Arabidopsis thaliana: one gene and its partners. The protein of the gene in region 1 interacts with the protein of each later gene in a pairwise test. Each region holds a gene or a part of one and is shown on either strand. Other genes may lie near its edges.

What was found. The genes of interacting proteins can lie anywhere in the genome.
Region 2: the proteins of CYCA3;4 (region 1) and AT1G67580 interact in a protein complementation assay, tested with the Arabidopsis thaliana proteins (one large-scale study listed by BioGRID).
Region 3: the proteins of CYCA3;4 (region 1) and CDKD1;1 interact in a protein complementation assay, tested with the Arabidopsis thaliana proteins (one large-scale study listed by BioGRID).

The regions. Positions count from the first base shown.
Region 1 is NC_003070.9:17,303,970-17,311,030, reverse strand, and holds CYCA3;4 (CYCLIN A3;4), read right to left. Parts: upstream 4,455-7,061; 5' UTR 4,280-4,454; coding exon 3,959-4,279; intron 3,687-3,958; coding exon 3,454-3,686; intron 3,360-3,453; coding exon 3,204-3,359; intron 3,104-3,203; coding exon 3,070-3,103; intron 2,980-3,069; coding exon 2,830-2,979; intron 2,748-2,829; coding exon 2,613-2,747; intron 2,528-2,612; coding exon 2,444-2,527; 3' UTR 2,183-2,443; downstream 1-2,182. Other genes in the region: NRAMP2 (NRAMP metal ion transporter 2), read left to right, coding at 1-294, 665-801, 890-1,542, 1,758-1,988; CYCA3;3 (Cyclin A3;3), read right to left, coding at 5,834-5,908, 5,993-6,127, 6,226-6,409, 6,490-6,642, 6,746-6,978.
Region 2 is NC_003070.9:25,325,487-25,334,456, reverse strand, and holds AT1G67580 (Protein kinase superfamily protein), read left to right. Parts: upstream 1-2,995; 5' UTR 2,996-3,491; coding exon 3,492-5,206; intron 5,207-5,739; coding exon 5,740-5,875; intron 5,876-5,961; coding exon 5,962-6,050; intron 6,051-6,242; coding exon 6,243-6,354; intron 6,355-6,447; coding exon 6,448-6,554; intron 6,555-6,630; coding exon 6,631-6,730; 3' UTR 6,731-7,175; downstream 7,176-8,970. Other genes in the region: AT1G67590 (Remorin family protein), read left to right, coding at 1-724, 818-899, 1,099-1,320; AT1G67570 (zinc finger CONSTANS-like protein (DUF3537)), read right to left, coding at 7,519-7,661, 7,746-8,064, 8,141-8,572, 8,663-8,970.
Region 3 is NC_003070.9:27,711,968-27,719,215, forward strand, and holds CDKD1;1 (cyclin-dependent kinase D1;1), read left to right. Parts: upstream 1-2,942; 5' UTR 2,943-3,145; coding exon 3,146-3,241; intron 3,242-3,524; coding exon 3,525-3,823; intron 3,824-3,918; coding exon 3,919-4,027; intron 4,028-4,112; coding exon 4,113-4,238; intron 4,239-4,315; coding exon 4,316-4,551; intron 4,552-4,632; coding exon 4,633-4,914; intron 4,915-5,002; coding exon 5,003-5,051; 3' UTR 5,052-5,453; downstream 5,454-7,248. Other genes in the region: AT1G73700 (MATE efflux family protein), read right to left, coding at 5,587-5,646, 5,733-5,819, 5,912-6,030, 6,120-6,358, 6,449-6,505, 6,595-6,681, 6,758-7,248.

The sequences.
Region 1 (7,061 bases):
AGCTGGTGCAATCGCTGGCTATTCTCTGTTGTGGCTACTAATGTGGGCAACAGCTATGGGGTTGTTGATTCAGATGTTGTCAGCTAGAGTCGGTGTAGCTACTGGTCGTCATTTAGCTGAGCTTTGTCGTGATGAGTATCCTACTTGGGCTAGGTATGTGCTTTGGTCTATGGCGGAACTTGCTTTGATTGGTGCTGATATTCAAGAGGTTATTGGTAGTGCTATTGCTATTCAGATTCTTAGCCGTGGCTTCTTGCCTCTTTGGGCTGGTGTTGTTATTACTGCTTCCGATTGGTGAGTCCTTTCGATACTCTATTCGTTCTTTAGAGATGTTGGATTCGTAGAATTAGTAGAGACTTGGTTTGGAGAATCTTATGATTCATTCTGAAATTTTAAAACTTTGCGGATCATCTTAGCGGTATTGAGTTTGAGTATGGATCATTCGAACTCACAAATCAGTAGAAACTTGGTTTAGAGATTCATGATTCAATCTGAAGTTGAGAATTTGCTTTTACTTTGGCTGTTTTCTTGTAAAACTTTGCTAAGATGATCCAAACTCACAAATCAGTAGAGAATTGGTTTAACGATTTGTGATCGAATCTGAAATTAAGAAACTTGCTTTTTTGTATTTTGAAAACTTGGCTAATGAATTTGTTGCAAACAGTTTTTTATTTTTGTTTCTAGAGAATTACGGTGTGAGGAAGTTAGAAGCTGTTTTTGCAGTTTTGATCGCAACTATGGGTTTGTCCTTTGCTTGGATGTTTGGTGAAACAAAACCGAGTGGGAAAGAACTTATGATAGGTAAAGATTTCAGATTTTTACTCTTGAATTTCACTTTATTTGCTTTGATTTGAGTGCTTAAAAATCAAATCTTTGTGTTTATGGATAGGTATTTTACTACCGAGACTTAGCTCAAAGACAATTAGGCAAGCTGTAGGTGTTGTTGGCTGTGTTATAATGCCTCACAATGTGTTTTTGCATTCGGCTCTTGTACAATCGAGGAAAATCGATCCGAAGAGGAAATCCCGGGTTCAAGAAGCGCTTAATTACTATTTGATCGAGTCATCCGTCGCACTTTTCATCTCCTTCATGATTAACTTGTTTGTGACTACTGTCTTTGCAAAGGGGTTTTATGGAACTGAGAAAGCTAATAACATTGGCCTAGTTAATGCTGGTCAGTATCTTCAAGAAAAGTTTGGAGGCGGGCTTCTTCCGATTCTTTATATCTGGGGTATCGGGTTGTTAGCAGCCGGACAAAGCAGTACGATAACTGGTACATATGCTGGACAGTTTATAATGGGCGGTTTTCTGAATCTCCGGCTTAAGAAATGGATGAGGGCAGTAATAACAAGAAGCTGTGCTATTGTGCCTACAATGATTGTGGCAATCGTGTTCAATACTTCTGAAGCTTCCTTGGATGTTTTGAATGAATGGCTCAATGTCCTTCAGTCTGTACAAATTCCTTTTGCTCTTCTCCCTCTTCTAACCTTGGTATCCAAAGAAGAAATTATGGGAGACTTCAAGATTGGGCCTATTCTCCAGGTAAATTTCCACTTCTTTTACTACAAGTCTCCATAGGATACCACAATAGGTGAATTAGTGTTGAGTCTTATCGTTTTAGGTGTCTCGACTTTTTTAGTTTCACTGTTTGTGCAATTATCTTAGTAAACATGTAGAATTGAAAGTCCTTCAATGGAATAGAGAAGCATGAAGAGTGAGTATTTGTAAGTTGATTGGATTTATTGATTACATTGCAGAGAATAGCTTGGACTGTGGCTGCACTTGTAATGATCATCAATGGGTATCTTCTGTTGGATTTCTTTGTATCAGAAGTCGACGGGTTTCTGTTTGGAGTTACGGTCTGCGTCTGGACGACTGCTTATATCGCCTTTATAGTGTACCTCATTTCACACAGCAACTTTTTTCCTTCTCCTTGGTCATCCTCTTCCATAGAACTTCCCAAAAGAGTGTCCGTCTCCAATAGCTAGTAGCTGCACAAAAATAACTGCCCTCAAGACCATTTGTTACATGTCAAGAAGATACAGTAAACAAACTTCATCCACTATAGTCTTATACATATTGAAACGCCAAAGTGGTGATAAGAGTTAGCTTAGCTTTTTGTGAATGTTAACATCACAAATATGTAGTGGCAAAGTCTTTGTTGTACTTTTTTGTTTTTGTTAAGAGGATGTGCACATTCCAATATGATTTAAAGAGGCTTTTACATCATAGAAAAAAGCAGAAAACAAATCAATAAAAATCTAATAAACCATTGAAAAAATGGTCAAGCAAAAAAAAAAAAGTTTCTTAACTAGTGTTAGCAAAAATCATTGAACATACGCTAAAAGAGATAATACTCAATACTAATCTGCCATTCTAACAGATATATACAACCCAAAATTCAGGTAACTAACACTTCCAATACATAAGCTTCAAGCTTCTTTTACGCCATTCCTCTAATGGTAATATCTTCAAAGAAAGCAAGAGGTAGCTCCGGTGAAACAGGCATGGTCGCAACGCACTTGTACTGTACCAAGAGAATCAGATATTAGAATGTTCTTGTTGCAATATATCACAAGTTTAAAGTTACATCATTGAATTGTTGAATTTACCTTGTGTTGCTTGTACTTATTTCTAACAGCTTCTAGAGTGTTTCCTCTTCTGCTTAGATACAAGTCATGTATGATACCCACGCACACTTGTAGATCAGCTGCTTTGTACTTTGTGTATTCTTCTAGCATTTGATTCTGTTTGCATCACCAGAAGAGGATTTAGAATATAAAGAACTTTTTCTGTATAAGAACCTGTCATGGTTCTTAATTTGCTTACCCAAGGATGTTGTTTTGGACGGATGATGAACCGGGCAAGAAATACAGCTGAAGCAGACAAAAGAGATGGCAAATACTTCACACAGGTGTAATCTAACATACTCAATTCTGATAGATAGCAACAAAGGAACTCTATCTGCAATTGTGAGTCCTGCAAAGGCATGAAAAAAAAGAAGATTTAACAATAGAAATTATGAGATGCAAATGCCACAGTTTACAGGTACATCGATTTTGAGCTTACTTTGAAATCTTCTTGTGCAACCCGTGTAAACCGTCTGCACAAACACGACATAAAAAAGAGAATAACAATCAAAACAAGGGCAAGTAAAACCATGAAATCATAAGTTTAAACACCAGACTGTTTCAGAGTCGAACCTTAGGAATGTTTTGATGGTTGGGCTTCCTAATTCAAACTGCAGAGCAAGAAGTATATCCGCCTCCATCGACACCACTTCTTGTTTAGTAAATGTATTATCCGTAATGTAACAAAAATCTTCAACTTTAGGAGGACCTATCTCTTCATATTTCCTACTTTTTTAAAAGCAAAAATAAAGATTCCATAAGCCAACCATCTAAGACTCTTCACACCAACACAACAATAAACAAAGAGGATTAAGATGCTTACGACGCAATAAGCATTGCAGAAACTCCCACAAGCTGAAGCTTCTGCCTGTTAATAGGCTTCACAGACAAGAATCTATCAACATAGGAGATAGTGAGATAAAGCGTATCCGAAACAAGCTTGTACTCCTCAGCAACCTCCACTAACCAATCCACCAAAACCGCTCTCATGTGTGGAGTTAAATCACTCTGAACCTTTTCAATATAATCAGGTAGTGGTCTATGTTTCGGCTTCCCCTGAAAATTTTACCAATCCAAAAACAATAACCATTAGTCCCAAAGTATCAATCATCTCTAATTTCTCCAAACATATCATATAACCATAAGAGCAAGCTGTGATTGGACAAAATCTCAGAAACTTATCAAATCCACAACTTTAACCAAACCCATTAATCAATATCAAGTCCAACACTGTACCAATTCCAAAATAACATAAACTGATACCATAAGATCACTAAGATCAAAAATGATGGAATCAAGAAATCTACTAAAGATGATTTTTTTTTTACCTCCATTTCACGGAGATAAGCACAAATATCACTAGCAAAAGGCTCACACATCTGAGGATCAACAGATCTCGATTCGATTAGTACGCTAGCTTCAGGAATCATCAAAGCCTTCTTCATCTGCCTCTTCGAGGTATTAACACTTGTTTTAGCCTTAAGGGTCTCTCTTTCTTGATTGGGTACAGCAACGACATTGGACATATTCGGAAGCTCTCCGAGAACAACTCTCTTCTTACTAACTGGGTTTTCGTCTAACGCCATGGACGACGCTTTTCGTTTCGCCGCCGCTCTCGTCATCCTCGCACAGTTCTGATTCTCCGCCATGGGGTTATTTCAGTGGGAAAGTGAGATTTGAGAAAAGGGGTAATGTACAAGGTAGGTAAAAGGAAATGGGTTGAGTAAAAGCGCCATTTTTGTTGGGGAAGTTTTGAGATTTTTAGGTCATGGCGCTTCTCTGTGTAAATTTTCCGATTTCGAAATTTTTAGGGATTTGACTTTTGAGTATCCAAAATTTGGGGCTTTTTTGCAGATTTCATTTCCACATTTATTTGGCGGCTGTTTTCTCCTTTTTACCCTTCAAAAAGTTTCACTCCTATATTTAGACAATCATTATTGTTTTATTCACTTAATTAAAGATGAAAATAACAATCAATGAATGCTTTTAATTAAGGAAATTATTAGTAGTTGATTTGTTTTTTTTTCGGTTTTGGTTAAGATTCGGAATTAAGTGAGATGCTTTTAAAAAATTTAAAAAAAAATCGGTTTTGCATTTGTTTTTTTTTTATACTTTTTTTGGGTTTAGTTTTACATTTTTGATTTTTTTTTGGATACAGAAAAATAAATCCACTAAACCATATGAAAATATTTTGTCTAAACAATAATAAAAAAAAATCATTGAACTAGGAATTCATTTAACACCATTTCCTATATAATTTTTTCGACAAATTCAGCTATTAATTTAACAAAAATAATTGACACCAACGGACACTTATCTTATATTAGAGTTGTCAAAATGGGTGTGCGGCCCGTGGGCTGCCTGCGTCCAATACTTAATGGACCGAGTCATGGATAAAGCCATTATAAAACGGGCTTTAATGGTTATAGTCGTTAACGGATATGAACTTTAGCAGAGTAGATATGATGGACATGGGCGGCCCAATAGTCTTATAATGTTAGGTTAAATCGATTTGAGGAAAAATCGAATATTAAAATGGACATTATTGGATTGGACAAAGGTGTTAATGGATACGGACTATGTTCGTCCAATATCAAAATAGACATTATTGGATTGGGCTAATGGACATGGACACCCCGATTTGACAACTCTATCTTATATGATCCGCCTATCTGTTATTATCTAATAAACGTATGTTGGAAATGACCAGACCAATTCTACCAAATAATCTTTCCAATAAGGGTTCACTTGTAGAAATTGCCTTTTTATTGACTTAAATGAACAATTTCTGTTTTGTTTTGTTTTTGTCAAGGATCATAGCAAGTCTAAAGGCTTATCTTGTCATGTCTTCCCATTCATCTGGTTTCGATACCATTTGAAGTAAATTATTGACTACTAAAGTTTTGGCCTTCTAGGAACTTATAAATTTTGTCATAGGAGGCTCAATGATTAAACAAATAAAATCATGTCACATAAAATACTTCTTATCATATTGCATAATCGTATAAATTTCCAGAGTAACACATTAATTTGTCACCACAATGTTAATCAAGTAATAACACAATACATCTTCACAACACAAATTATTTGCTCCTGCTTCACTTCGATACATATAACATATGACTCCTCTAGCTTCAACTGTTGATCAGTGTCCCTTAGTAATCGAGCTCAGTAACAATTGGGAAATGAAAGATTGGTTCTGATCAAATGGTAACAACATCCTCCCAAAAGGTAACCGGAAGCTCTTGGTAGACAGGAATTGCCGCAACGTATTGGAACTGTACCATAAAAAGCAACATTTAAGTATAAATGATACTACTAATTAAATCAAATGATTTCATAATTTGTAATATGTCAATTACCTTATGTTGCTTGTATTTCTCTCTAACAGCTTTTGAAGCACCTTCACTTCTGCTCAGGTACAAGTCAAGCATGATCTCCACACACACTTGTAGATCAGCCGCTTTGTACTTTGTGCATTCTTCCAACATTTGACTCTGTTTTACATTACAAGCCATAGATTATTAGTGTCTCATTCAAAAGATTAACTCAACATATAAACCTGAAAAAGAGAGATTGAGACAAAAGTTCTTACCCAAGGATGTTGGTTAGGAAGGATGATGAATCGAGCGAGAAAGACAGCAGAAGCAGCCAACAAAGATGGAACAAACTTCACACAACTATAATCTAACATACTTAGTTCTGACAGATAGCAACAAAGAGGCTCTAGCTGCAAGTTTGGCACTTTGAAATCTTCTTGTGCAACCCTTATGAACCGTCTGCACAAACACAACAAAAGATGAGAACAAAGAACCATAAGATACAACCAAAAGTCAGTATTATTCATCACAATTCTAACCTTAGAAAAGTATTTGTCGTAGGCCTTCCTAGTTCAAACTCAAGCGCGAGAAGTATATCCTCTTCCATCTTCAACACATCTTGTTTCGTATAAGTATTAGCCGTAATGTAACAAAAATCCTCCACTTTAGGGCGACGTTTCTCTTCATACTTCCTATTTATATCAAATGCCAAAAAAGAGAAGCCACTCCATATGTAAGTTTCAACATGACAATGAATAGCAAAGAGAGTAATACAAGAGGATCAAAAACACTTACGAAGCGATAAACATTGCAGAAACTCCCACAAGCTGAAGCCAGTGCTCGTTAACCATCTTTAATGACAAGAATCTATCAATGTAAGAGACAGTGAGATAGAGTGTTTCAGACACGAGTTCGAACTCTTCAGCAACTTCCACTAACCAATCTACCAAAACACCTCTCTTGCTTGGTGTTATATCTTCTTGAATCTTTTCAATGTAATCATGTAAAGGTCTTAGCTTTGGCTTCACCTGAATATTCACCAAACCAAAAACACAAATCTTCAGAACATATCCACAAATTCTAAGTCCAAACAGAGAACAATCATAGAAAC
Region 2 (8,970 bases), 8.0 Mb from region 1:
AAGATAACAAAGGATGGATAGGACCAGCGACACCGGAGATATCGAACGGTTTTGAGTTTCAGAAAGGTTCGAACCGGACACCAAACCATCACCGGTCTACTATGGGGAAGCCAGCGCCGTCAAAATGGGACGATGCTCAGAAATGGCTTTCTGGTGTAGGGTTTGCTCGTGGAGGTGGTGGAGGTGGTGACAAGAGTAGTCATCACTCAAGAAGTAATAAGCCGAGAAACTCGAACGCGGATGATCTTAGACTTATAGCTTCAGCTTCACAGAGAGAACGTGAAGGAGAAGATCAGTACGTTGAGTATGATGATGAAGAGATGGCGGCGGGAAGACCGGAGGTTGAGACGAAGAATGTTGATTGTGGTGAATCTGTTTGGAGGAAAGAAAGTAGTATTAATCCAACGGCTGTGATTAGATCCGTTTGTGTGAGAGATATGGGGACTGAGATGACTCCTATTGGTAGTCAAGAGCCTTCTAGAACAGCTACACCGGTGCGAGCTACTACACCGGTTGGGAGGAGTCCTGTGACTTCACCGGTGAGGGCTTCACAACGTGGTGAGGCGGTGGGGGTTGTGATGGAGACGGTGACGGAGGTTAGGAGGGTAGAGAGTAATAATAGTGAGAAGGTTAATGGTTTTGTGGAGAGTAAGAAGGCTATGAGTGCTATGGAAGCTCGAGCCATGGCTTGGGATGAAGCAGAACGTGCTAAATTCATGGCTAGGTGATTAACGTTAATTGGTTAAATTTATGGTTGATTTTAATATGTGTTAATGTGATTCGTGTTTGAGAGTTTTTTTTTTTTGTGTGGAATTAGGTATAAGAGAGAGGAAGTGAAGATACAAGCTTGGGAGAATCACGAGAAGAGAAAGGCTGAGATGGAGATGAAGAAAATGGAGGTAAGATGTTCTGTCTAATTGTGGAAAGAGAGTTGTCAACACGTGTTCAATCCGAATTTCGGTTCAGTCTTTTTTTAGTTTTTTAAAAGACAAAGTAGTGTGGATTGGTTTGATATGGATTGGATCTATTAATTGTTAAAGAGAAAAATAACGTTATGGATTGAAAAGGTTTTAAAACAATGTGTGAACGTGTGTTTAGGTGAAGGCGGAGAGGATGAAAGCAAGGGCAGAGGAGAAGTTGGCCAACAAGCTAGCTGCGACGAAAAGGATAGCGGAAGAGAGGAGGGCGAATGCGGAGGCTAAGTTAAACGAAAAGGCGGTGAAGACATCGGAGAAAGCTGATTATATAAGGAGGAGTGGTCACTTGCCTTCTTCTTTTTCTTTCTCCTTTAAGCTTCCCTCTCGTTGTTGGTGTCAATAATTGTCTATTTTCATTAGAATGTAATCGTATGGATTTAGTGATATTCAATAACTAACGCAAAAAAAAAAAAAAAAGTTTTGTTTGGGGAAGTAGATAAAAGAAATTGAGCCAAGAACTCTCAAAGTTAATCAAGGTCCCACGAGTGGCCAACTATCCGCACTTTAATTGCTAACTTCACTTAAAACTATGTCGCTAACCTTTTAATTGACACAAACACATTTGGGGAAACTCATAATCTTTGATGTGACCGGTAAAGCAAAAGTTTTGGGCTTTTTACCAGATGTCTGATCTCGCATTTGGCCCGACCCCGCAATTTTGGGCTTCTAAGATAAGGTCAGGCCCGGCTTTAAGGCACAATGTAAGCCCAGCAGTTCAAAGGTTGATCCGACATTAATTTGGTAACGGAGGAATCTCAACTTAAATGATAAGCATTTACGATCCGAGCTGACGACTCGTAACGTGCGAAGTTAATGAGGCGAGATCCGCGGCGTGAAGTCAGCGAATCATTTAACTCGTTTGATTCGATGTATTTGTATAAATAAGAGTCAATTGACATTGTAAAAGGGGATACACATTGTACTGAAACTATACTGAAATACATAAATACTTTTCACTTGATCACTGTTCGTCTAACAAGATTTAAGACCTTCACGAAACAACCACAAAATTCTAATTGCGGATTACGACATCCACACAAATCAAATAAAGATAATCTCAGATATGATGGAATAGTACTAGTACTTGATAGTGATTTTGATTGTCAAATTTTGTAAAGAGCAAAAAAATTGAAGTCTAGAATGAAAGATGACTCATATGTTTCGACCAAGCTAGTCATGAACACAAACAAGAAGAGAAATGATTAGTTCGTGATTGAGAGATTATGAATATTCATAATGTTCTAAAACGGTTTATGTGGTCCCCTAAACATTATGCAGCCACAAACCGTGACAATCATTTTTTCGGACATTGAAATTAGACATTTTAGTTTTGACTGGCCTTCGGCAATATTAGGTACATAATTATCAAAGTTAACATGACTCCAAAAATTAACATATGTTTTTTGATTTAAATGATTTGATGGTAATATTAAGGTTTTCATGTCTTAGAGCAATTTTATTTGTGGTTTCTAGATATAAGTTTCTTAACATTAAAACAACAAAAATAATATTATCTAACTATGTGAGTTTCTTGAATAGTTAAGAAATTCTCTCCAAAATTTCCTATATAAGGTATTTTAGAGATGACTTTTTCACTAATCAAAAAGCCCACACATTCTTTTATAATAAATTTTCTTTCTTTAAAATAAAAGACTTATGTTTAGAAATCATCAATGAGATTGTTCTTATGTTCCAAGTGCTCCAACATCGACTTTCAAGATAATAGTCTTTGTGGTTAAGATGACAATAATTCGATTAATTTTGGGTGTGAGTCGTGTGACTATCCCACGAAAATAAAATTGTTTTGCCAATTTGATGGTAAAATCTCACGATAAAAACTCAAACAATAACAGCCTACCAAAAAAAAAACTCAAGACCATAACATGTTAAATTTAAATAAATAAATATATTTTTGGTTTCAATAATATTGTCGTAGAAGTTTTAAAATATTTTAGAGATAAAAATAAAAAGAAACACATTGATTAATTACAAAAGTTAGGGGCTCCTTATACCTTTTTTTTTTTCATCAAGGGGCTCCTTATACTAAAACAATAAAATAGAGGGGGCGAATACAAAAACACGATTTTAGAGACCTAAAGCTTTGAGCTTTCGACGAGAAACTTTCTTCTCTCTCTCTCTCTCCGCCATTGTTCGTTCCCTCTCCACGGTAATCTATATCCACCCGTCGTCAATCGGAACTTTACGAACTCCTTATCAATCGTATTTTCACTTTCCAATTCTGAGTTCTCTTCTCGTTTCGTCCTCTCTTCCTCCGTATCCACGGGTCTCGCTTTCGGTTTCTAGGGTTTCGCGGTTCTGATCACAAGTTCTGCTTCAATTGTAAGCGATTTGATCGCAAGTAGCTGTTAAATCGGTGCGTAATTCAACTTTTGAAATCTCAAGGTTTAGTCTCTGCAATTCTGATTTTGAACACAGCTAGCTAGTAGCAGATTTAAGAGTTCGTCAAATTAGGATTTTGGGTTTGTTTGGGTCCCTTTCTCACCGAAGTTCTGTATGGCGGCTGGGAGGAATATAAGATATCCAGACCATGAACTGAGAGACCAGGAATCGAATTCTAGATTTTCCAGGCGGGATAGTGCTTATGCGAACGAGGATTATAATCATGTTAGGAACGGTGCTATTGATAATGGAAAGGGACGGGTTAGTAATCTAAGACACGGGGATAGAGATAGAATTAAGTCTGGAGCTAGACAGGAAGAGAACAAAATGGTTAGTAGTGGGTTTCGGTTATCGAAGAGCAATCCAGGTAGTAGAGAAGTATTTATCGATCTTGGTCCTAAAAGATGCGGGTTTTCAGCTAGGTCTGTGGACAGGGAACCAGGCGAGCTCTCTAGTGAGAGTGGGTCGGATGATTTGATTGAGTCGGAATCACTGGCGAAAGTTAATGGAGTTGTGAAGGAGGTAGAGAATAGAGCTCAAAGTCCTGTGGAAAAGAAGAGAAAGTTTTCACCAATAGTATGGGATAGGGATGACCATGAGAGAAGTAATTTGAGCAGAAATGAAAAACCTGTGGAGGTCACTCCTCTTCCTCCCCCACCACCACTAGTTAAGAGGTCAAGCCAGTCACCTAGTGTCAGTTGTGGTGGTAATTCTCATTATTCACCTGCAAAGAGTGACATGCATCAAGATCCTGTGGAAGTTGGTGTTTCTGCGGTTTCTATGCCTGCTTTGTCACCTTCGGTAGAGATGTCCTCTTTGTGTGTGGTAGAACAGTCATCAAATGCTGAGCAGGATGACAAACAAGAGCATGCAACACACCTGGAAGAGGATGAAAACATGCCAACACGGCATATATCATCCTCTAGGTGGGCTGCTGGTAATAGTTCTCCAACTGATGAAGTTGAAATAGTAGAAGAAGTTGGGGAAAAGAAAAGGAGGAAGAAACCATTTCCCGTGCAGGGGAGATTTCGCAATACCTCTCAAACACCTGAGGTCGGGGAGTTAGTGAGGGAAGGTTATAGATCATCTGATTCCGATGAAAGGGGGCACCATTCTTTACCGGGAAGCAGAGATGATTTTGAGGAGAGAGATGCTGTTAAGAGTGACAAGATGGAAATAGATGAGGAGGAACACAGAAGAGAAAACTCTGTTGACAGCCTTAGTGAAACAGATTCAGATGACGAATATGTACGGCATGAGACACCTGAACCTGCCAGTACTCCACTGAGAAGTATAAACATGCTCCAGGGTTGTAGAAGTGTTGATGAATTTGAGAGGTTAAATAAGATCGATGAAGGTACTTATGGTGTTGTTTATAGAGCAAAGGATAAGAAGACAGGCGAAATTGTGGCATTGAAGAAGGTGAAGATGGAAAAAGAAAGAGAAGGTTTTCCATTGACTTCTCTTAGGGAAATTAACATCCTCCTTTCTTTTCATCATCCATCAATAGTGGATGTTAAAGAGGTGGTCGTGGGTAGCAGCCTTGATAGCATATTCATGGTGATGGAATACATGGAACATGATCTTAAAGCATTGATGGAGACAATGAAGCAGCGTTTTAGTCAAAGTGAAGTTAAGTGCTTAATGCTTCAACTTTTAGAGGGCGTCAAGTATCTTCACGACAACTGGGTGCTTCATCGAGATTTGAAAACATCTAACCTGCTTTTAAACAATCGGGGTGAGTTGAAGATATGTGACTTTGGTTTGGCTCGGCAATATGGCAGCCCGCTCAAGCCTTATACTCATCTGGTTGTTACGCTTTGGTACAGGTAAAGTGCGTTTTTACCCTATTCTTGTTTATAAAAAAATTAAGTGGTGTTTACATTTACGATTGTTATTTGAATTCTGGTGGACTTTCTTGTTTTTTTTTGGCCATTGTTAGTATAACATTAGGTGCCACGTCTCCTTTCTGGTATAGCTGTACTACACCGTACTCCCTTTTCTATTTCTGCACATTAGGATCAATGATTTTAAAGTCCTGTTTTTAAATGGTGTTCCAAGGTATCTGATATTTGTTCCAATGGCACCACAAACTTGAGTTTTGTGACTGCCTTGGATCCTTATCTTTCCTCTTTGAGAATAGTCTTCATAATATGCCAGCTTAGCCATTAAATACTTAACACTTTTGCGGTATTTGCTTGGACACCACGTACCATGAACCAACGTAATCTGGGCACATTAGGAAATATACGTGCTTCAACTTCCTTGACTTGTTTTGTTCCTTGTGTTGACTCTCCCTTCTTGTTTTAGCAATAATCACTTCCTCCGGGACCAAGCCCAACGACTGCATTTGTTTTTCCAGGGCACCTGAACTTCTCTTGGGAGCAAAACAATATTCTACAGCCATTGACATGTGGTCACTGGGCTGTATCATGGCAGAACTATTAATGAAGGCGCCATTGTTCAATGGGAAAACGGAGTTTGATCAACTTGACAAGGTATTTTAAACATCGGTTTTGATTTGGATCTCCAGCCATCCTGGGACCACATACAGCTTATAAATTACTCCTTCTTTAATTTACAGATTTTCAGAATCCTTGGTACTCCCAATGAATCTATTTGGCCTGGGTTCTCTAAACTACCTGGAGTCAAGGTCAACTTTGTCAAGCATCAGTAAGTATTTATAGTTCCTTTTATTTTCAGTTTATATGGAAGGATAACCTTAGTATATGCTTAAAGTCTCTAATATTGTTCCCAGGCTTTCTAGCTTTAGATGATGTGGTGTGGCTCTCTGACTCATTAGTGGATTTATATTGTTTTCATAGTTGTTATGTCACTCTTCTCACCGCTTACCTGTACTTTTAGGTATAACCTATTACGTAAGAAATTCCCAGCCACTTCGTTCACTGGTGCACCAGTTCTGTCCGATGCTGGGTTTGACTTACTGAACAAGCTCCTAACGTACGATCCTGAAAGGGTAATAGAAAATATATATCTGTTGCATGCATGTTAATCCAGTATGCACCTTAATTGTTCCTTGACTTTTGGATCTCTGTGGCTTCTTCTGCAGAGAATAACTGTTAATGAAGCTCTAAAGCATGATTGGTTCCGCGAAGTCCCTCTGCCAAAATCCAAAGATTTCATGCCTACTTTTCCTGCTCAACATGCCCAAGACAGGTACTGAGGTCTATCTAAACTGAAACGATCAGTGGTTGACTTTAATTCTGTCTCTTACTTTTTCTTCTATGCCTAGGCGTGGGAGGAGAATGGTAAAGAGCCCTGATCCTTTGGAAGAGCAACGTAGGAAGGAATTAACGCAAACCGAACTTGGGTCTGGCGGTCTGTTTGGCTGAAGTACAGCACACCGGTCGAAGATAGCAGTTGGAATACAACCTTGATATTCTCAAATACCTTGGAATTACCACATTTTAGGCGAGGGCTGCTGCTTAAGCGGAGGTTGGAATATTTGTATCTCAGAATATCATTCATGCTTTCTTTATTCACTTTGAGGGTCCGTGGTGATTTGTGAAGATGATTTTCCTCCTTTCGCCACTGAGAATCCTTGCAGGTTTAATGTGTTCACAAGCTAGGCTGGCCAGTTAGTGCTATGGCTTTCTGACAGTGCTTGTTTTGTAAGACAATCTCCAATGTATAGCTCTATATCTTACTCTAAAATAGAGTTGCTTTCTCTCCAATGTATATTTCTATTTTCTAGTCTAAAAAAGAATATTTTTAGAAATATTCTATTTCTATTTATATACTAATACCTTTTAATTATATAATTTACAATTTACTCCATATGTTATAAATTTGCAAATTGCCATAAAATATGATATTATTTATAAAAAATCCAAATGTTCGGACATATTTTGAGAGTGAACAAGTATGGATTTTACAAAAACGACGAGTCCAACAACAGGATCAAGATCAAGAAACTCCTCCTCCATCTAGTACAATATAGCTTTGTACACTCTTCACGTAACCAAGTTAAGAGAGGCTCGCGGGAAAAAAAAAAAAAAAAAAAGTTAAGAGACGCTCATGTAAGTATATCTTCTCCTATCAATTGAAGAATCTCACTATATGGCAGAAGGTAAAAAAGCTATGCAATAATGCATGATACACCAACCCTTTTTTTTTTTGGTCATTCAGTACCGAAAACTACAGTCTTGCCGAGTACAAAAGTAACTAGAGAGAGCTCAATGAAGAATATTGTGTTTATCAAATGCCTGTCTACTGTCCACCCGAATATCGTTATCCCGCCTGGATTCATCTGCAAATACAACACTGCAACATATCATCTAATTAGCTATCATCATATCTGAGTTTAGCTGTAAAGGTACAAGTAAAAAAGGGCGAAACAAATCTCACCGAAAGCTTGTCGTTTGTGATATGAGGACATGGACATATAAGAAGGAAACTGGTTAGTAACAGGCATCCTCATGTAGTGATCCATTGATTCCACATCACTATCTGAACGGGAAATCGGAAAGGAGATGGGCGGATTCGTGGTAGCCTCCAAATGAACTCCACTAGGAGATGCCCTTATCTGAGTTGAATCTGTAGACGAGCAAGACATCATCGCATGCCATCTACTTGCAACTGATGCTATTGCTTGAGCTCTGTGTGATATTTTTGTTGCTGCGTGTAGACACAAAATGATTCCAACAACTTGGACAACCGCAGAGACCTGAAAACATATCATGTTCCAAGCTTAAGCTCACCACATAAGAACATAACAATCAGTGAATAAGAAGAAGACTTACTGCAAAATCACCACCGTTTATATAAGTGATACGCCCACTATACGCAGTGGTCTGAAAAAGCGTAGTAAACTGGCTAGCTGTGACAACCAGAAACTGTAGAAGCAGAAAGATGCGGAACCTATGGCTTATTTTCGAAAGATAATGACGCAAACGCATATGCTCATAGATGAAAAGAGAGATTTCAGACTCCCCTTCTAAAAGCTTTGCATAATCTTCAAAGTGAATAACTTGCAAGTTACATACTAAATGAAACATAGCACTTGCAGCTAGAAAGATAGTGCTTAAGTAAGTCCACGACAAGATCATAGACAAGAGAATTGCAACAGATAACCATGGCTGGTCATGAGGCACATAATACATTCTGATGATCTCACGAACACCCTTCAAAGCAAAACATGGAAGTGACCAAACTGCAAGCAATCTTACAGAGTTCTGCAACACAATAAGAAAGATACAAACTTTGAAGTAAGTATCATCATCACATTGCAATCTCAAAAACGAAGAGAAAGTAGAATAAATCACCAAGATTTGTTGAATGTATTGAGCTTTGAGACGATCCATTCGACCACTAAGTTGATCAACAAACAAAAACTTTCGAATCCCATGTTTTCTCAAATTATGAGAAACGCAAAGCAGAGAAACACCAGCTAACAACGCCTGCGAAACAACGATGTTGAGCTCGAAACTCTTGTACTGATATCTCTCACACCCTAAACAATGACCTAGCTCCAACACTGTCACCGGAAGCACCAAACCAATCGATAAAAACACGATCCAAGACAGAACAAGGCTTTGTTTAGACGATTGATTAAACCCAAGGAGCGTCAAAA
Region 3 (7,248 bases), about 10 Mb from region 1:
ATAAAAACGAGGCCCAATTTTGAAAACTTCGAAAGTACAATCAAAATAATGAAAATGTCTACATCCCAGTTTAGCAACGAAGGCAAGACCAGCCAAATAAGTTTCTACACATACAACACCAAGAGACCTCATGTTTGAAGACATACTATGTGTCTACAAGATTATCTTATTGTGCTGAAACCATAGACTGAAAGTCTGAAACATCGAAGGCTGGTTGATAGTTCTTATGAAAACTTTTGGACCGGATCGACATGGTGATCTAAGTTTTCGGAATTTTGTTTTTGGGATCAGTTTACCTGTGTTTTTCGGATATTTTTGAGTAAGTTTACTCTTTAAACTAGCACATAACTGTATCTCGATTTCTTTTGGGTTGGAGACTCAAAGTTCGAGACTCACAACTGTAGCACATGTAACTTGTTTATGGAAGTATAACAATATTAAATTTAAAACAAACAAAAATCATAATCTTTTTAGTAAACTAAAAATTGTCGAATTATATGTTTAAAACATCATTTTTTTAAGTGAAATTTGGTTTACATGATGACTCCCTTAAAAGAAATTGTTTAGCTAGGGTTCAGTTTCAATTATTCTGCCTAAAACCATTTCTTTATCAATCAAACTATAATAACAAAATTTGCTGTAGTTTACGTTCGATTTCAAATTATATGGCCAACTCCTACAGGTGATCCGAAAAGACATTCAATTTATTGATATGTGTTATTTTTATATCTTAATCTTAACTTTTATTAACTTTTAATGTTCTTCAAGTTTATAATCTTCATTGTGTAAAGACAGGAATCAAGTACTCGAGTTGACAAATGAATCGTATAAGTTAGTGAATATCTTTGGTCCTTTAAATCCGATCCGATCATCATTTTACATATATGACAGAAAACTATTTTCGCAATTAACTAAAGGACTGTGATTGTAGAACAGGATTTAGTTGTTAGATTAGATATGAGAATAATCATACAAAGATAGTCAGTGCATATGGCAGCAAAGATTGCAAAATTTAAAAGTCTCCAAAGAACCAAGGATCTTCTCATCTACCCGAGGCAGTTGCATAAACCCTAGTTTTTTACAAGAAAAACAAATAACACGCTAAACATTGCTTCGGAATCAAAATAATAACCATATAATTCTCAAATTATAGCGAATAATCCTTACCAAAAAGAAATTATAACGGAAAATTAAAGATGAATCCGAATAAATAATTGTTGAGTAGAAATAAAGAAAAATAAAAAATAGAGAAGGTGAAAGAAGATGTAGAGCTCCCTTCAATCCAAAGAAGAGTAAAAGCCATTAAAGGGCAAGTTAAAGCTCCTGAGATATGCAATCCATATAACCAAATCCTTTTTTACTTTACAAGGATTAGGGCTTATGGGATCCATAGCTTAGCAGCTTTTCTTTACCCTGCTCAACTCATGTTTGAACTTTAAGGAGCTCTACTTCCATCGTCAGATCAAGATCTATCGAAAAACAAAGTATCTTGTCAAATATATTATGGATCTGACATAAGCAAACTGTAAAGACCTTTAACTCTTCATAAAACAATGAGAAAGTTTTGATGAGAACGTGGATTAACAAAAACACCAAAAGAGGTAAATCTCTTACATTAGAGCTATGAAGGAGATATAAAGACAGAACAAAAGAGAGGAGGAACCCTAATTATTAACCCTAAACATACTTAGAGAGAAGGAAAGAGAGAGAGAGAAGAGGCCACGTCATGTTTTGGAAGAAATGATAGATAGAGAGTCGTAATTATAGTGGTTTAGATATTCGTGATAGAAGAATAAAAAGAAAAGAAAAAAAGGAACAGGTGGGTGCATCTGAAAAGACATGGGAAGGGTCTGACATTGTTTGTGTTAGATTCCCTACGCGTCACATGCGTCCTTCTCGGCTTTTGTGCTTCACTCTTTTTTTTTTTGGGTAAAGATAATAAAAATAACAATTATTATCGTTCCTGCCAACTACTAGTCCACTACATTTTTAAGATGTAACTTTGAAAATGAATTTGGCCGACCATTCTTTATTTCTTTTAGAAAATAATGTACAAGTGTTTCCGTTTGGTGACCTAATTCTAAATCATTTGTTAGCCCTAACAACTAGAAATTTCAACACGAAATAGTGAAATAGGTTGATGTACGGTCAGGATTATAAGTCTGATGATGTGGGCACGAAAGCAGGTAATTATTTCTCTGTCTGAGCAGAATCTATTGCTAGATTTATTACAACGAACTTGTCTTATTACCCTCACGAGTCTCGTCTCTTTCACAATTCAATGGCTTATTTTTAAGTGTGTTTTTTTATCCATCGTGTAAGTTTTTTTTTGAGTTGTTTAAATAAAAATTTGTATGATGAAAAATGTTCACTAGCAAAATACTTGACCCTGAAGTATCCTAAATTTTTCTGGTTCATACTCAAATGTTAGGCTTACTTTGTTTTCTTTGGTCACCTAAAAAAAAGTGGACTGATCAGCCTAATTATTTGTGCAAACTTTAATGATTGGGCTGCATCTCTTTCTTATGAGCCCATTATATGGGCCCAGAAGTTAACAGTTGCTTGTCTAACCTTCTCGGAATAGTTATTTGGGCCTTATATTTGGGCTTGATTCCACGCTTCATGAAACGGAAGTTAATCCGGTAGTGTTCTCCTGGTCCATGCTGCGGAAAATATGAGCAAGGTTAATTTGGCAACTTGTTGATGCAGCTTTTTATTTTCTTGGATTTTTTTTTTAATTTCTAAGTATGTTTAGGCAATGTTCCAATATTCATACAGCTAAAAAAATGTTAATATTCACAATCATCTTTTGTTTAACCACTAACTTATAACATTTTAAACCGAAGAATAATTGACGAGTCAATGTTGAGTAAACCGGAACAATTTTGCTTTTCATTTATAAACCTTTAAACGACGTCGTTACGATAGACGCTTCCAGCTTCGTTTTATTTCTAGCTTTAGAGCGTCTCTTTCCTTTTTCGTTTACTTTTCAATATTTTCCCCTAAAAATGTCGATTCCTTCTGTAATTGCTCTAACGGCTACTTTTTCTCCAGAGCATCATAAGATACCTCAACGTTAACGATAACAAATTAATTAAGATCAGTTTCGATCAATTGCTTGTGATCCGATTAGAGAGTTCCGGAGATGGAACAGCCGAAGAAAGTTGCTGATAGGTATCTAAAGCGAGAGGTTCTTGGTCAAGGTACTTATGGAGTCGTCTTCAAAGCTACTGATACAAAGGTGAAGATGATTCCTCTCTCAATTCTTCATATTTTTTGTCGATCCCATCGAAACTAGGGTTCCAATTCTGTCGTGTGTCTTTTGACGTGTCTCTTCCTGGGAACAATTTGGTTAAATCTGATAGCTCTTAGGTTTTAAATCAGCTAAAGTTTCGATCTTTACACTAATATGTGTTCTTAGAAGTCAAAGTTTGCATTTTTATGTTCTTAATGGATTTAAAGTGTGTAGTTTTTGTTTAAGTTTGTATAAGGAAGCTGATTTGTTTTGTTGTGGCAATTTGTAGAATGGAGAAACTGTAGCGATCAAGAAAATAAGACTTGGTAAAGAGAAAGAAGGTGTGAATGTAACAGCTCTTAGAGAAATCAAATTACTTAAAGAGCTTAAGCATCCACATATAATTGAGTTGATTGATGCGTTTCCTCACAAGGAGAATTTGCACATCGTGTTTGAGTTCATGGAGACTGATCTCGAAGCAGTTATCCGAGATCGTAATCTCTATCTTTCGCCTGGTGATGTCAAATCTTACCTCCAAATGATATTGAAAGGTCTTGAATATTGCCATGGCAAATGGGTTCTGCACAGGTACTATCATTGGAACTTAGAAGCAGAACTTGTTCTATCTCTAATAAGGTCTGTTTTGATTTAAACTTATGGATGATCATTCGTATTTGTTTCAGAGATATGAAGCCAAACAACTTGTTGATAGGACCCAATGGACAGCTGAAACTTGCAGATTTTGGGTTAGCACGTATATTTGGTAGCCCAGGTCGTAAGTTTACCCACCAGGTATGCTTTGTTTGTTGTGACAATGCTATTTATGTAGTAGTTCTGCTATCTTTCGTATCTTGATGTCCTTTAGCAATTTTCATAGGTGTTTGCTAGATGGTATAGAGCACCTGAACTTTTGTTTGGTGCAAAACAATATGATGGTGCAGTTGATGTTTGGGCTGCTGGCTGCATTTTTGCTGAACTTCTATTACGCAGACCATTTCTTCAGGTGAACCTCCATTTTGATTGTGTAGTAATCCAGTGCATCTGTCTACTTGTTTATCTAACTTACTTATTCCATTGCAGGGAAACAGTGATATTGATCAATTAAGCAAAATCTTTGCTGCCTTTGGGACTCCAAAAGCAGATCAGTGGCCTGACATGATCTGCCTTCCTGATTATGTAGAGTATCAATTTGTCCCTGCTCCTTCTTTACGTTCTTTACTCCCAACGGTTAGTGAGGATGCTTTAGATTTGTTGTCAAAGATGTTCACCTATGACCCCAAGTCTAGAATATCGATTCAGCAGGCTCTAAAACACAGGTACCTAAAAATCTCCCCTATGGATAATGCATAAGAACAGGTTATTTAGTTTTGTTCTCAAACCTTGATTTCTTTTTAAAGGTACTTCACATCTGCACCTTCACCTACTGACCCTTTAAAGCTCCCAAGACCAGTTTCCAAGCAAGATGCTAAGTCATCTGATAGTAAACTTGAAGCCATTAAAGTGCTGTCACCAGCACATAAGTTTAGAAGAGTGATGCCTGACCGAGGAAAGTCTGGTAATGGTTTCAAGGACCAGAGTGTTGATGTCATGAGACAAGCTAGCCATGATGGACAAGCACCAATGTCTTTAGATTTCACCATCTTAGCTGAGCGGCCACCAAACCGACCAACCATCACCAGGTAAAAACAATTGGTTTTATTACAGTCAGTTCTTGGTCAGCTTAAAAAATGAAAACTTTTGATGAATTCTTGATTTTTGGATTTGCAGTGCAGATAGATCTCATCTGAAGAGGAAACTTGATCTCGAGTTCCTATAGGATATCGCGTAACAGGCTTCTTCTTGACGTCGTTCTTCAGGTTCCTATAGCCTATAGGATCTCTCTTACTGGTTGGTTCCGTTCAGTAATTCCTGAAATTTTTCATATCACAACTAGTGATGACGAATAGTTTGAATCATTCTTTCTGTCTAAAATAAAGAATATAAAGCACAGATGATTAACTAATCATCATGTACACCCTTCATAGAAAAATCTCTGTTTTTGGCCTATGTTTAGAAGAGAGCTCTGATCCCAAACTCATTCTTCGTTCATTTCCAATTTAAAGTCCAGAATTTTTAGTATCGAACACGTTGGTGTATTACATATATGAATTTTTGATCTCATTACACTAATGCTCGATGAGAATGGAAACACATCCAAGGAATTTCAATAACTATGTAACAATGGTAAAGTTTTCTAAAGACCAATGTACGGCCACATCAATTAGAAATTCCCAATAAGTTCATATGGGCATACAAGAATAAAGCACTCATTAAGCTCATTTGCAACTGCTTTTTCCTCAGACGTTTATTGATCATTGGACGTCACCATCTTTGTCATCTGAAGATCCGACTCTGTTCGTAGCTTTCTTTGCCTAATCATGTAAAACAAGAAACAGAATCACATTATGGCAGAGTTATTATACATATAAAACTGAGCCGATCAGTTAAAAGGTTTTACCTCTTTATCCCAGTTTGTGAATATAGTGACTAAGGAAAGACACAACACTTGAACAGACAATGCTGTTACGATTCCCAGCCAAAGCCCCTACAATATGAAAATACCACAAAATAAAAGTTTCTATAAAACTAGTCTTGTGTTTGAACTTGAGAATGAGAAGGAGAGTTTAAGATTATTACCCGACCACCAATGTGGAAATGGAAACCAAGTAACAATCCTAATGGAACTCCAACAAGATAATATGATCCAAGATTCACACATGCTCCAATTTTCTGCCATCCACATCCTCTAGCAACCCCTGCAACCATAAATCAAAACTATTTGACCAGGATTCGAACCGGACATATATAAACAAGGAACCAAAGCCAATCTTCTATCATTCAAAACCTGAGAGTACGCATTGTAAGCCATCAAGGAAGTTTCCACATGCAACAATCGGTATCATTGATGCGGCATATGCGATGATTTTCGGGTCGCTGCTAAAAGCATGACCTAAGATCTTCCGAATCGACAACAAAACTGTTACAACCACAATTCCCTCGGCTACTGCTATGCCTACAATGACATATACAGCCAGTTTTGCCACTTGTGGATTCCCTGCTCCTAACTCGTTTGAGACCCTTATGCTGCAAGTTAACAGAAACACACAAAGTGAGATAGGTTGGTTTGATGAGATTTTTCTTTTTATGAGCTCTTGGATACATTTTGTTACTGACCTTGCAGCGCCACCAAGACCAACCGAAATCTGCCAGATTGTTAGGGAAGTATTTAGACTGAAAAGTTGCAGAAATGAGGTTGATCAAATATAAAGAAGAAGTACACAAACTCTGAGTACCATAAGACAAAGATAACCGAAATCTACCAGATTGAAAGCACCGAAGTTTCTAAAACCGGGTTAGGAAGAAGGCCTGAGGCAAGAACCAGAAGCTCGAAGGACCAAAGCTCCAAACTGTTTCAAACAGAATTTGATTAAAATGCAGATACTGGAACCTGAACAATGCAGCATTTTATGTTTGATGACTTACCAGACCATGACCGCTGAAGGAAAAGCAATTTTAGAGAAATCATAAAGTTCTTGAAAAGCCTCTTTCGAAAACCCGGTCCAACTATGCGAGCAAGAAGGCGAAAACTTGACATAACACGAGAGGAGAATGACGTTGAACCAGTAAGAGACCGAAATAGCAAGAGCAGCTCCTCTGTATCCTAAACCAGTCTTCAACACAAACAACCAACAGAGAAGCAAATGAAGACATGTAGTGATACCAGAGCAGACAAAGACAGGGAACACATTGTTCTGCGCTTGCAAGAACCTGTTGATACATTGAAGCAGTCCGTAGGCGAAGAGGCTCGGGATCATGTATTTAGCGTAGGAGCCAGCAACACTTGCAATGGACTTGTCTTGATGGACCAATACGAGAATCTGTTCTGTGTTAGCCCAAATGATTGAGAGAGGAACAGAGAGTATAAGAAGTACAAACATTGCTCTCTGCATTTGAATTCCCAATTTTCCATATAG